Caenorhabditis elegans: one gene and its partner. The protein of the gene in region 1 purifies or fractionates together with the protein of each later gene. This does not show direct contact. Each region holds a gene or a part of one and is shown on either strand. Other genes may lie near its edges.

What was found.
Region 2: the proteins of ssp-11 (region 1) and Y18H1A.4 fractionate together in Caenorhabditis elegans (co-fractionation; one large-scale study listed by BioGRID). This does not show direct contact.

The regions. Positions count from the first base shown.
Region 1 is NC_003282.8:4,997,434-5,003,194, reverse strand, and holds ssp-11 (Sperm-specific class P protein 9/11), read left to right. Parts: upstream 1-3,380; coding exon 3,381-3,710; downstream 3,711-5,761. Other genes in the region: Forkhead box protein pes-1, read right to left, coding at 347-443; ssq-2 (Sperm-Specific family, class Q), read right to left, coding at 5,699-5,761.
Region 2 is NC_003279.8:689,429-697,376, reverse strand, and holds Y18H1A.4 (Histidine phosphatase family protein), read left to right. Parts: upstream 1-2,726; 5' UTR 2,727-2,746; coding exon 2,747-2,796; intron 2,797-3,529; coding exon 3,530-3,866; intron 3,867-4,692; coding exon 4,693-4,780; intron 4,781-5,006; coding exon 5,007-5,194; 3' UTR 5,195-5,357; downstream 5,358-7,948. Other genes in the region: Y18H1A.2 (CBF1-interacting co-repressor CIR N-terminal domain-containing protein), read left to right, coding at 369-699, 2,053-2,312; ptp-5.3 (Tyrosine-protein phosphatase domain-containing protein), read right to left, coding at 6,121-6,264, 6,317-7,080.

The DNA of each region.
Region 1 (5,761 bases):
CCGCAAATTTCCGACCGTAACCCAAATCCAATTCACACCCTATCATAGCACCTACTCAACACAATGATGGGAAACCAATCCCGACGCTTTTTGCGCAAACTTGGCAAAAAAGTTGAAACAATGAGTGTGAATTGCTCTGTGAACACATAAACCGACGCAATATACATCTGCCAATTATGTAATGGATATGGGATTTCGACAAAGTTTTTTTACAAGCTTGGGAAAAATTAGAAAAAATTTTTGTGCTTTCGAAAAAAAATTACTGTTTCATGAAATTGTTGTACTTACAACGAATTTTCAAACCCCCGATGCTTTCCTTCAACTATGTATTAGCATTGCAACTTACCTGGAGATGCGGTTTTCGGCGGTGTTGGAGGAAGTGAAGAACAGTTATCCAAATCGAGCAGAAATTGTGGAGCATCAGATTTGATTGATGACGTCATCTAAATGTATTATTATGTAGTAGTAAAAGAAAACAATTTATACTAATAAGTTTGAAAGCCGACTGCGGAATATTAAAAAGATTGTGAAACAGAATAAAATGTTTTGATGAATACACTTAACAAGCAGACGATGCCAAAACTAGGAGTTGTTGTGTTCTAATTAGTAATGAACTATTTTTCAAGCGCCTTGTTTATAAAAATATTGATTAAAATGAAATTTAAAATCAAAGCAGGTAACCAGTGGAAAATTAAAATTGTTCTTATGAAAACAATTTGGAACTAGAGATTTGGTAAATTATCAATAACCGCAGTAGTCGAAAATTGAAACAAACAATTGGCTTGATAATTGTAGTTTATGTATGATTGTCGGGGCGATAGATAGTAAAATTAACCGACGTGTGTGGTTCAACAAGTAATCTGGGAATAGAAATCAAATTCAAACTTTTTTGGGAGACATTTCAGAATTGAAAAAAAACAATGAATGCGAGATTTTTATCGGGAAGATAAAACAGTGTTATACGATACAACTACCAGAAAATTTGAAGTAATGTTTCAAAAATATGGTAAAGCGCCAAACAATTTTTATCTAATTCTCAACAATCTACAGATATTTAAAATTTTCACGGTACCTCCTAGATTACATCATTTTCAAAAAGTACAACACAAGCGCAACAAAAAAGTGGAAGTGTTTAAAAAGAAAAAGTATCAGCACCTGTTAGATGGTAAAAACATTAGTAGAAGATACTCACAGCCTCACACTATATGGGTGTCTGTCTCGAGAGGAAAGTGGCAAATAAGAAGAGGAGGAGTTGTAAAACATCTGCTCTGTCGCTGGGGGTACAATACCACCGCCCATATCATACTTTTTTTCAAACTCCCTTTGCCGGCGGTCAGTAGGTCAACAGAACACCATCGTTGTAAATCAGAGAAGAGTCCATAAAAATATTAGGACTGTCGTGGGATAAAGAGGAATCATTGGGATTTACACCTTTTTGATATTACCTTGTTGGCAAAATTTGTCAGGAAAATAGGTCTCAAAACAACACATTTTTGTCAATTGACAAAAAATTAGGAATGAGAAAATTAGACGAAATATGGAAATGTCAGAAGATTGGAATTTCGGTAGAAACTACGGAGAAGAAGTTAAGGTACTTTTGAAACACACACTCGTTTACTTTCATCATAATTTTGCCACTTTTGTAGATGAAACGATTCTTGATAACAAAAAAAGATTTGCAAAGGAGGAAAACCAAACCTTGAAGTTTTTGTTTTGTTCTTCGGAAGTTGACTTTTTGTTTTATCTTATCCAGACAACCTTGAATTATAGAATTTTGGTACAATGTTGGCTTCTGCCTTCAAGTTAGGCTTTGGCCGGCTTTTTCCGGCGATGAAAAAGTTTTTGAGTCCGGGACAAGTGAAATTGACAATCAAAACTGTTGAAAACTGCACCGTGCAAAGCGTACAGAATAGTAAAAGTGATTTAAATAACCTTTGTAATGCATTTCTTCAGCTTTTAAGAGAAATTTCAATTTTTGCAGTTGATAAACTCAACTACTCTGAAATTGAGATTTTTTTTGAATACCCCTTCATGGAATTGTGGGAAAAGTTTCAGAGAAAATTGTATTTTTCTAACAGGATTGTTCAAATTTCATCATAAAAACTCAAAGTTGGAAAACTCAAAACTCAAAATTAACTAAAAATATTTACAACAAACAGACAAACGGAACAAACTTTCATATTGTTTGAAATATTAGAAATTGAAAAAGAATTCACTCAAATATTGAAAATCCTCATATCTTTTTGGTGAAACAGAAAAAAAATTGACTTCACTGTTTTTTAGAATTATTATTACTGTTAGTTATTTAGAAACACTACTCAATTCGAAGTTGTCACATCACAAAAGTTATGTTTTTCAACAAAAAAAAAAGAAAAATAGAACGTTAATAAAGCAATTTAAGCTTAAAAATGAGATCAAACCTATTTATGATTTCGTGATGATATTGCACAACTTTTTTCTTAAGTTGAACGTTTTTATAACAGTTTTTAGCTCAGCAGCAATGAAAGGAAAATTTTTTATCATTTCTCCACTCCAAAGTTATTATTAAAAAATCATGAAACCCAAAATAAGACAAGTACGTCACACGGTAGTGGGGTGGGATGATAAGTTCAAAATCACAAAGATATATTTGTCTTCAACTAATTAGACTTTTACGAAATGTGACTGGTGATTGATTTCTTCAGAAAGTCAGCATGGAAAGCAAAACTCAAAGTTGACTAAAAATATTCACAACAAACAGACAAACGTAACAAACTTTTATATTTTTAAAAATAAAAGTTTAAAACTAGAGAAAGAATTCACACAATAATTGAAAATCGGTATATCTTTTTGGTGAAACAGGAAATAAATTGACTAAAAAACATCACACTGTATTGAACGCGATCCGAGACAAATAATATTTCAGATTCTCAAAAAAGAAAATTAAAAATTTCCTCAAATTGAACTAAACTACGTCAACCTAAACCCTACACATGACACCAGAGATACCCACCGTATGCTGCTAGGGTCACTCTTCTTGAACCCTATCTTCCCGGAAGTGTGCCATTGTTGTTATTTTTGAATGGAGATTAATTACAGAGCAGGTGTAATAAGTCTCACTTTTTGATTTCTTAATTGGGATGACTTCCTGATACATCGGAACAGGCAGGTGTTTAGAGGCCAAACTACTCCACCTTTAAAACTGAAAAAAAATGAATTCGTTATTTTTATTTTCAAGATTTTTGTTAGAAATAAAAATAAAGAAAAAGTTTAAATAATTTCCCGTGTGAAAACGTGAAGAGGTCATTAGTACATCTTGATAAGAAAGGGTATAAATATTTGGCGAAAGCCGTAATAAAATCAGTCTTCAGTACCAAACAACCAACAACCGAAGCTACAACATGTCCCTCACTGCCGATCCACCAGCCTGCACTGTCCCAGCTGCCGGAGGATCCTCCACCCACAAGCTCGTCAATGGTGGAGCTGAGAAGATCATCTTCAAGATCAAATCATCCAACAACAACGAATACCGCATTGCCCCGGTGTTCGGATTTGTCGATCCAGCTGGATCAAAGGATGTTGTGATCACTCGTACTGCTGGTGCACCAAAAGAGGATAAACTTGTCATCCATTTTGCACCAGCACCAGCTGATGCTACTGATGCTCAAGCCGCTTTCGCTGCAGTGACTCCTGCTGGAACTGTCACCATTCCAATGTCGGCCACCGCCTAAAATAGAACTTTCCTTTGTGTAAAGATGAAAATAAAGTTTTTTGACGAGCTCATTTTTTGTTGTTTTCTCGGTCCTTCGTAAGATTTTTTTATAAAAAGATACCAAGAGTATACATGAGATATGAAGAAATACATCGAACTAAAAAGTCTGGAAATTTGAACTTTAATCATTCTTCTTTGCGGTCCTTACAATTTCTCCGAAATTCTGATTTTCGGAATTTTTTTTGGGAGAAATGGAAAATTTGCGCATCCAACTCGATCTTATTTTCAATGCAAAAATATTTTTGAGATATATTTTTTCCAGTTTTCCAGTGTTTTTCCGCTGCAATTTCTTAGAAGTCTCACTTTTCAATTTCTTAATTTGGATGACTTTCTGATACATCGGAACAGTCAGGTGCTTAGAGGAAAAAAAAGAGACTTGTATTTTTTCAAAGAATTACTACAATACTTTTTTCAGTTTCAAGAAATCGAGAAGAATACTTGGCTTGGGCAGTCAATTCATTATAGAATTTTGATTGTCATTAAACGCTCCGAATTTTTTTACCGATTGTAATTGTATAATGCTAATACCTAGCTAAACAGATTTTAATAAGATTGTAAATCTTTCAGGCAAAATCTAACAGTTTTCAATTGCTAAAAAGTGTTCAAAGCAGACTGGGAGCCGCCTCAAAAAGCTGTCAATGCGAATTTCACAGATTTCCAAACTTTTAAAACTGTCATTCATATACAATTGAAACAATATATATAAACCTAAAATACCGCCAAAAGAGTTCCCGATATTTGACAAGAACTTCGCACCCAATTGAGTTGAGGCGAGTCGATTACGGTAGGAAGGTGTCAATTGCACCTTGTCTTGGCGGTGAGATTAGAGGATTTGAGTGAGGATTTACTGTATAGTTACTTATATATTTGTAATAGGTTTTGTAATTAGGAATTAATTTCAATAATGTCTACCAACCAGCATAGTTGGTACAAATTCATTTTTGCCATCTCCAATTTTTTTGATAATGGTCGAAAAGATTCATGTCACTATTGATTAGATGTGAAGGAGGTTTAAGGTGCTGAAACAATTTTAGTTTACTCTCCACGGCTGGACACACAATTTTTTTCTGCATCAGATTTTTTCAGATCCAAAACTGTTGTACAGGCTCACATGCTTGAGGAACTCTCTCGCAGAAGTGATAAGAGGCAGCAGGGGTGCGCGGCAGTTGCCGACCGGCAATTCTACAAAATGAGACGGTTGGGCATGTTCCTCAGATATTTTTCATTAAAATTTATCAATGCAATTTAGAAAAATATTCGCTTTATTCGAAAATAACTTTTATTTAATTTTTAAATACCAAGAAAGTGTTCAAAAACTGTCCGAAAGTTGAGAATTGACGATGAAAATTGCCGTCAATTTTTTGGCAATTTTCACCGGTAATTTTCAACTTTCGAACAATTTTAAACACTTTCTCGGCTGTTCCAAATCAAATGAAAGTTATTTCCAGACAGAGAAAATATTTTTCCACATTATCTTTTTAAATTTTAAATATCGGGGAAAATGCCCAACCGTCTCATTTTGTAGAATTGCCGCGCACTCCTGGGAGGCAGTTATTTTCAAAAATATTAAAAAAATAATAATAAAACGCAAAAGTTGGAGACCACGGTAGTACTGAACTGTAGGATTACTGTAGTGTAAAAAAGTGTAACTACTAAAAACTTCAAGCAACTTCTGAAACGTCTGGGAAATGATGGCAATTTCACAATATTTCCAAACTTTTCAGATTTAAATGACGTTCTCCTGTCTTACCCTGAGATAGTTGTTCACGATGAGAATCACCAATCAATTAAATTTGTTTTATTTGAAAAGAAGAAACATTCAATAATGGCTTACTAGCCTTTGCTACGGTATTGTTATCTGTTCGTGTAAAATATGAATTGTAATTTAAAACCGACTTTCTACTGTTTATTGGCTATAAAAGTTCAAAACATTCCAATATTTTCTTCTTACTTGGGTGCAAAGTATGCAGATGTGGCACCTCCTCCAGCTCCTCCGCCGCCTCCGGCTCC
Region 2 (7,948 bases), on another chromosome or scaffold:
TTTTCTCCAAAAAAAAACAATATTTTTCTCCAAAAAAAATCGATAATTTTCTCCCTAAAAATCGATAATTTTATATTTAAAAATCCATAATTTTATTCTAAAAAATCGATATTTTTCTCTGAAAAATCGGTAATTTTTTTCAAAAAAAAAAACGATAATTTTCTGCAAAAAATTTAATATTTTTTCTCCGAAAAAAATCGATAATTTTTTCCAAAAAATCAGTGATTTTTTTCCCAAATAAAATCGATAATTTTCTATTAAAATAATCGTTAATTTTCCCCGAAAAATCGATAATTTTTTCCAAAAAATCGATAATTTTCTCCAAAAAAAAACTATATTTTTCTCCAAAAAAAATCGATATTTTGCAGGATCTCGAACGTGAAGAACGAAAAAACTATGGATCCGGAAACCGCGACTACGAAGCGGAAAAAGCTGCCGAGAAGAAGGAATGGGAGTCGAAAATGGGAATTCAGGTGTATTTCGCGGATAATACGAACGATTTAAACAAGAAAAAAGAGTGGTACGAGGAGCTGCCGCTGCGAAGAGCCGCCGAGCCACTTGATCGACGAAAAGCGCGCGATGCTCTGCCGTGTTTGAAGCGGAAAGAGCTGGAAGAGGAGAGGAAGCGGAAACGAGAGGATAGTGATAGTGAAGAAAAGGCGAAGAAACGGCATAAAAAAGACAAGAAGAAGAAGAAAAGTGCGATTTTTGGGCTTTTTTTTTTTTGAAAATTTGCGCGTCAAATATGGTGCTTTTTCCGTCAAAAACACGGGCAAAATCGTCGAAAATCGGTGGCCGAAGTTTACCGCGGCCACATAAATTTTCAGACAATTTTTTTTTCTGCTCGAAAATCACAAAAATTCGAAAAAACTTTAAAAAATTTTTTGCCCGTCAAATATGATGTATTATAGACGCGCAAACTTGTCATGGCCGTCAGAAAAAAAAATCGGTGGACGAGTTTTCTCTTTTTCGGCCACGGATTTCTGGCTTCCCTCATAAATTGAAATGGAAGAGTTTCTGCCGAACTAGGCCAGGCCATATCTGGGGTAGATTTACGGCGCGTTGCGTGTCGCGTCGCGGCTCGATTTTAGTTGTAAAACTAAATGTATTTGTCCGTGTGGAGTACACGACACTTTTCCACGCGTTGTCCAGCAGGCTATTGTCAATGGAGAGTGAAAAATTGGTGGCCGAGTTTTCTCTTTTTCGGCGGCCACAGAGCTTAAAGCATCACATTTGACGCGCAAAATTGAATTTTTCGAAAAAAAAAACATTTTTGCAACAGGTTATGATTTTTTGTCCCTGGAAATTTATTAAAAATTCTGGCGGAAAAAGAAAAAAACATCCAAAAACACCTTTTTTTGCGCGTCAAATATGGTGTCTTGCATCATGGCCGCCAAAAAATTGGTGGCCGAGTTTTTTTCTTTTCCGGCGGCCATGCGCAAAAATTTAAAGCTAAATTTTTCGAAATTTTCAGCAAATTTTGGGTTTTTTCTCCAGATTATCCAAATTTTTTAGAATTTTTTGAGTTATCGACTTTTTCGGCGAAATTTCTTGCGCAATCCCAAAAATTCAAAAAAAAAATCAGTTTTGTGCATCGAACCACCACGGGGTTCTGGCCTTCCTCATTGAATTTTTCGCGCTCCATTGACAATCGCCTGCCGGACAACGCGTGGGAAAGTCGTGTACTCCACACGGACAAATCACATTTAGTTTTACAACTAAAATCGAGCCGCGACGCGACACGCAACGCGCCGTAAATCTACCCCAGATATGGCCGAGCCAAAATGGCCTAGTTCGGCAAAAACTCTTCCATTTCAATTTATGAGGAAAGCCAGAAATTCGTAATTTTTTTTCGAAAAATCTGCTTTTTGTCCAACTACGGTTTGATCTACCAAAAATGCGGGAATTTTTCGCCCAAAATTATATGACGTCAGTACGTTCTTAACCATACGTTGATCTACAAAAAAATTCGAAAAATCTCTTTTTTCGCGCCTCCAATATAGGGTGCTCACCACTACAAACTACAAAAAAACCCCCCAATTTTTCTTCCAGAAAAGCACCGCCACCGTGATAGCTCTGAAGAACGTCAACTCGAAGAGGAATACGATCGAGAACGACGGCAGAAGCTGGCGAGCATGCGAGACGAGCGTCTGAAACGGGAACGAGTCGAGAAAGCGAGAGCCCATGCTTTGCTACATCCCGAGGAAATTGAGCTGCTGCAGAAACGAAAAGCCGCCGAGGATTCGGAGGAGAAGCGTGGAAAGAAGAAAAAGTACAACTCGCAATTTAATCCTGAATTTTTTAGGCAATAATTTGGTTTTTTTCCCCGTATTTTTCCCGTATTTTTTAATGTAAATTTGATCTGTTTTCCCGCCAAAGTCTAATAAATTCCATCAAAAAATTTTGCAACTTTCGTTTATTTTTCCGTCATTTGATACCAAGTATTCGATTTCATACCTATATACCTCATGACGTCACTTTTTGCAGAATTTCTTTAGAGTTTTTCGAAAAATCCTGGTGTCTTCATTCAGTGTGCCTCATTTTGGTCTGATCTACGTTGATCTACAAAAAATGCGGGAAAAGAGACGCAGAGTTCTCAACTTATTTCGTATGGTTAAGAACGAAAAATCCCGCATTTTTTGTAGATCAAGCCGTAATGGGAGAGCCTGACACCACGTGTCCGAGAGGAGTACACAATTTTCCAATTTTTTAAGGTTTTTTTTCAGCTAAAACCGATCTCGATAGGATGCCGATCACTTATCCACGGAAAATTTGGATTGTTCGACACGCGGAACGGTACTTTTAAGAATTCAAAAAAAAAATGAAATTTTTTGAATTTATTGATTTTTTCGGTTAAAATCTGAAATTATTGATTTTTCGAAAAATAAAATCAAAAATTATTGATTTTTTGGGGAAATTAAAAAAGTACTGATTTTTCGAAAAAAAAAACAATGAAAAACAAAAATTATTGATTTTCTGTTAAAATCAGCAAATTATTGATTTTTTCTTGTCAAATTCGTAAATTATTGACTTTTCGATAAAAATCTGAAATTATTGATTTTTTGGTGAAAATCGGAAATTATTGATTTTCCGATAAAAATTAGAAAATATTGATTTTTCGAAAAAAAAATTAAAATTATTAATTTTTGGTGAAAATCAGAAATTATTGATTTTACGGTGAAAATTAAAAATTATCGATTTTTCTGCGAAAGGTTGAAATTATTGATTTTTCGATGAAAATCAGTAAATTATTGATTTTTATCCAAAGTCAATAATTTCTGATTTTTCGGTGAAAATCTGAAATTATCAATTTTTCGGTAAAAATCTGAAATTATTGATTTTTTGTGAAAATCACAAATTATTGATTTTTCGATGAAAATCTGGAAATTATCGACTTTTCGAAAAAAAAAATGAAAATCTGAATTTATTGATTTTTCAGTTAAAATCGGTAGTAATGATTTTTCAACAAAAATCAGAAATTATTGATTTTACGGTGAAAATCAGAAATTATTGATTTTTTGCATTGCAGCGAGGACAATATCAATCGAAATTGGCGTAAACTCGACGGAGCCGACGGTCTCACGTCGGACAATTCGATGCTCAGCGTGCGCGGTCGGCAACAGGCGAAAGAGTGCAAAAATCGGTTCGAAAATGCACAAATCTCGCATACGTTTGCCTCGCCGTTCGATCGGACAATTGAGACAGCTTCGACGATTATTGAGGATAAAGGAATGAAAGTGAAGGCGGACGGTGGCCTTTGTGAGGCACTTTATCTTTGTGATAAGCCTCCTGGATTCTGGGAAACCGACAAACTAGCTGAGAAATTTCCGCTTGTTGATTTGGACTATATTCCTGTTTTCTCGAAGGTATCGCTCAAAAAAGACCGAGATTAGAATTGCGCCGTTGCCGGCGCTGGCGCACTGCGTGGAAAAATCAAAAGATGCCGGCGGCGGCGCTGGCGCACTAATTAAAAAATGAAAAGGCGCCGGCGGCGGCGAAAAATGGTTTGCGCTGCCGCCGGCGCTAGCGCGCTACGTGGAAAATGAGAAGATGCCGGCGGCGGCGCTGGCGCACTGCATGAAAAGATGAAAAATGCCGCCGGCGCTAGAGCCCTACGTGGAAAAATAAAAAGATGCCGGCGGCGCCGCTGGCACGCTATGTGGAAAAATGAATGAATTCCGGCGGCGGCGCTAGCGCGCTACGTGGAAAAATAAAAATATGCCGGCGGCGCCGCTGGCACGCTATGTGGAAAATAAAAAGATGCCGGCGGCGGCGAAAAATAGTTTGCGCGGCTGCCGGCGCTGGCGCGCTACGTGGAAAAATGAAAAGATGCCGGGGGCGGCGCTAGCGCGCTACGTGGAAAAATAAAAACATGCCGGCGGCGCCGCTGGCGCGCTACGTGGAAAAGTAAAAAATGCCGGCGGCGGCGAAAATAGTTTGCGCGGCTGCCGGCGCCGACGTGCTACGTGGAAAAATAAAAATATGCCGGCGGCGCCGCTGGCACGCTATGTGGAAAATAAAAAGATGCCGGCGGCGGCGAAAATAGTTTGCGCGGCTGCCGGCGCCGACGTGCTACGTGGAAAAATAAAAAGATGCCGGCGCCGGTGCTGGCGCTATAGTTGGAAAAATGAAAATATACCGGTGGCGGCAATCGCTGCGAGACCTAGAAAAATTACCGAACTTTTTTTTCAGTACACACTACCCCGCGAAGGATGTGGAGATGACGCGTGTGTGCCACGTGTCGGAAAGACCCTGCGGGCGATTTTCGAGAAATATGAAGGTAATTTTTGCGAAACTACGTAAATTTCTGATTTTCGCAGAAAAATCAATAATTTCAGATTTTCACAGAAAAATCGATAATTTCTGATTTTAGCCGAAGAAATCAATAAATTACTGATTTTAACAGAAAATCAGTAATTTATGATTTCAGCCGAAAAATCAATAATTTGCCAATTTTCACATAAAAATCAATAAAAACACGCCGCAAATTATCGATTTTCTTTCAGGAAACCTCCTACTCGTCGGCCACGGAGCATCAATCGGCGCTTGCCACGAAGTGCTAATGGGCGATTTCAAATACGTCGGGCAGGCTACCGTATCCGAGTTCGAAGAGACGGCGCCCGGAAAATATCGGCACAATTATAGCTCCGACTCGTCTCATTTGTCGGATAAGAAGAACTTGAGGCCCTGGTAGTTGAGATGCTTCAGTCAGAAATCGCTGTTTTAAAATAATTTATATTTCCATACCTTTTACGACTTTTATAAGTATATATTCATAGCTTAATTCTTTTTTCTGAATTGATTAGCTTCCAGGAAACCGGAAAAAAATTAATAAATCGATTTTCTTTTCGAGAAATATGGATAGCAAATATCGATTTTTCAAAAATTCGGGAAAAAAAAGAAAATCAGATTTTTTGAACATTTCAAAGAAATTAGGAGAAATATAATGAATAAAACAAAGAGATTTTTCCGAAATTTTCGAAAAATCAATACACGGGGTTTTGGCCTTCCTCATTGTATTTTTCGCGCTCCATTGACAATCGCCCGCCGCACAACGCATGTGAAAGTCGTGTACTCCACACGGACAAATCACATTTAGTTTTACAACTAAAATCGAGCCGCGACGCGACACGCAACGCGCCGTAAATATACCCCAGATATAGCCGAGCCAAAATGGCCTAGTTCGGCAAACTCTTCCATTTCAATTTAGGTAAGGTAAGCCAGAAATCAATCGATTTTAATTTTTTTTTGTTTGAGAAAATCAGAAAATCAATAATTCCATTTTCTCGAAATGTTTCTTCCTATTTTCCACGAATTTTCTAACAAAATCCCCGGTCAGGAAGCGATGGCAGGCACGTGTTGTCAAAGTATCCCATTTTGGTGTGATCTTCGAAAAATGCGGGAGAAGAGACGCAGACGTTTCAACTAAGTTCGCATGGTTAAGAGTGTGCTGACGTCACATTTTCCTGGGGGAGATATTACCGCTTTTTTTGCAGATCAAGCCGCAATGAGACAGCAGGCAGGAAGCAAGATTTCGGAAATAATCCAGGGTTTATAAAATTCTTCATTTTCAAACCCAGATCACTTCAAATGCTTTTCCATATTCAAAATGGAGAAGAACTATCCAGGTCCCATCACACTTTGCTGACTCGCTTCGAGAAGGAGAACGGTGAATTGCTTGGTCAACTCAACCGACTTCTTGTAGATGTATTTGTTGCTCAGTGTTGGCTTTTTATCCCCTTCTGCTGGTTTTGTCACTTTCTTCTGTAAATTTGAGAATTATTCTCTCATTTTACAAGAATTCAAAAACCAATACCTTGATGAAGTAGAGCAACGAAATGTACAGGGAGCAGTACTGACAAAATGAATCCACGGCTCTTGGTCTCTGGGAGCGAATCGATTTGACAATATCCGCAATACATGGTTCGGCAAGCTTTGTATCAATTGTGTTGACTGCAACCGCAAGTGCCAAAAAGTAGCCAGCTCGTCCAGCTCCACGTGGTGAGACGATCATCGCATGCTCGTCAGCGGGTGCTTTCAGCAAGAAGTAGTTTAGACCAAGTGCCTCTTTGATGGCGATTGCTTGTTTCAAAGGCACAGTGTCCACTTTCCAATTGCTGATAACAGTCACATTGCAGATGATCGAGTTGGAGCATCCGTGGGGCACTACTTCAATTGCAAATCGGTACACATCGTCATTGACATACTCGACACGGCGGTTATTGATCCACATCTGACCATAATTTGTATAATCTTCTGCCTTTTTAGGGAAGAATTCGATGGTTTCATCGCCGACGAGTAGATCAATGTGAGTGATTCGCTTGTCGAACACAGCTTTCCAGAATGTTTCTTCCGTATTCGTGACCGGAGCTTGACCGAGATGAACATTTCTTCCCAATGGAACATCTACAAGACTGATGTTCACATAGTCTTTGCCAAGTTTCACGAGATTGGAGTCCAAGGCAGGAAAGTCTTCCGATTGGTTAAATTTTGGGTTGGATTTCCAGGTTTTACAGTCCTTCTCCACATCGATTTTCTGTGATTGCAGTTTATCGTATTCCTTTTTCACCTCTGCTGTGTCTGAAAATTTAAGATTTGAAAAATACTACAAAATATCTAAAACCAGCCGTTCGCACGCGCAAAGCGCGTGCTCCGACTGGCTCCACATTAAATTGTTTGAACAAATCTCTTCCTCGAGCTTCGCGGAATTTTATGAAAATTCTAGAAGTTTTTAGTATACTCTAGAAAGATGTTTTCAGAAGATTCTAAAAAAGTTCTAGAAATTTCCTGATCTTTTTTAGAAGTCTCCAGATTATTTTAGGAAATTCTAGAAGTTTCCAGATTTAGCTAGAAAGTTCAAGAAATTTCCAGATTATTCTAAAAAAATGCTAGAATTTTCCAGATTTTTCTTTAAAAAAAAAGCCAAAAAATTGTTCTTAGAAAATTTGAATTTCACGCCAAAATTAATGGGGGTCTCACCACGATGGGTCTCACCACGAAGGGTCTCACCTCGATGGGTCTCACCACGATGGGTCTCACCACGAAGGGTCTCACCTCGATGGGTCTCACCACTATGGGTCTCACCACGAAGGGTCTCACCACGAAGGGTCTCACCACGATGGGTCTCACCACGATGTGTCTCACCACGATGGGTCTCACCACGATGGGAGAGGCTCCGCCCATTGATGACGTACACTATTTTTTAAATATATATATAAGCAATGATATTCTAATGAAACAATAACCGAACTTGCTAATCTTCCGTTTGAATTCCCTCTAAAATGAGTACCCAATTTCGAACCAATCATTGGATTGGTTGAATAGTGGGCGGAGCAAACTGCTGATTGGTTCGCTTTTTAAAGTTGGGTTTTTATTTATATCCCGATGTTTTTAGTTTTATTAGCGGATTTCCACCAGTAAAGTAAAATCACCATCGACCAAATAATAA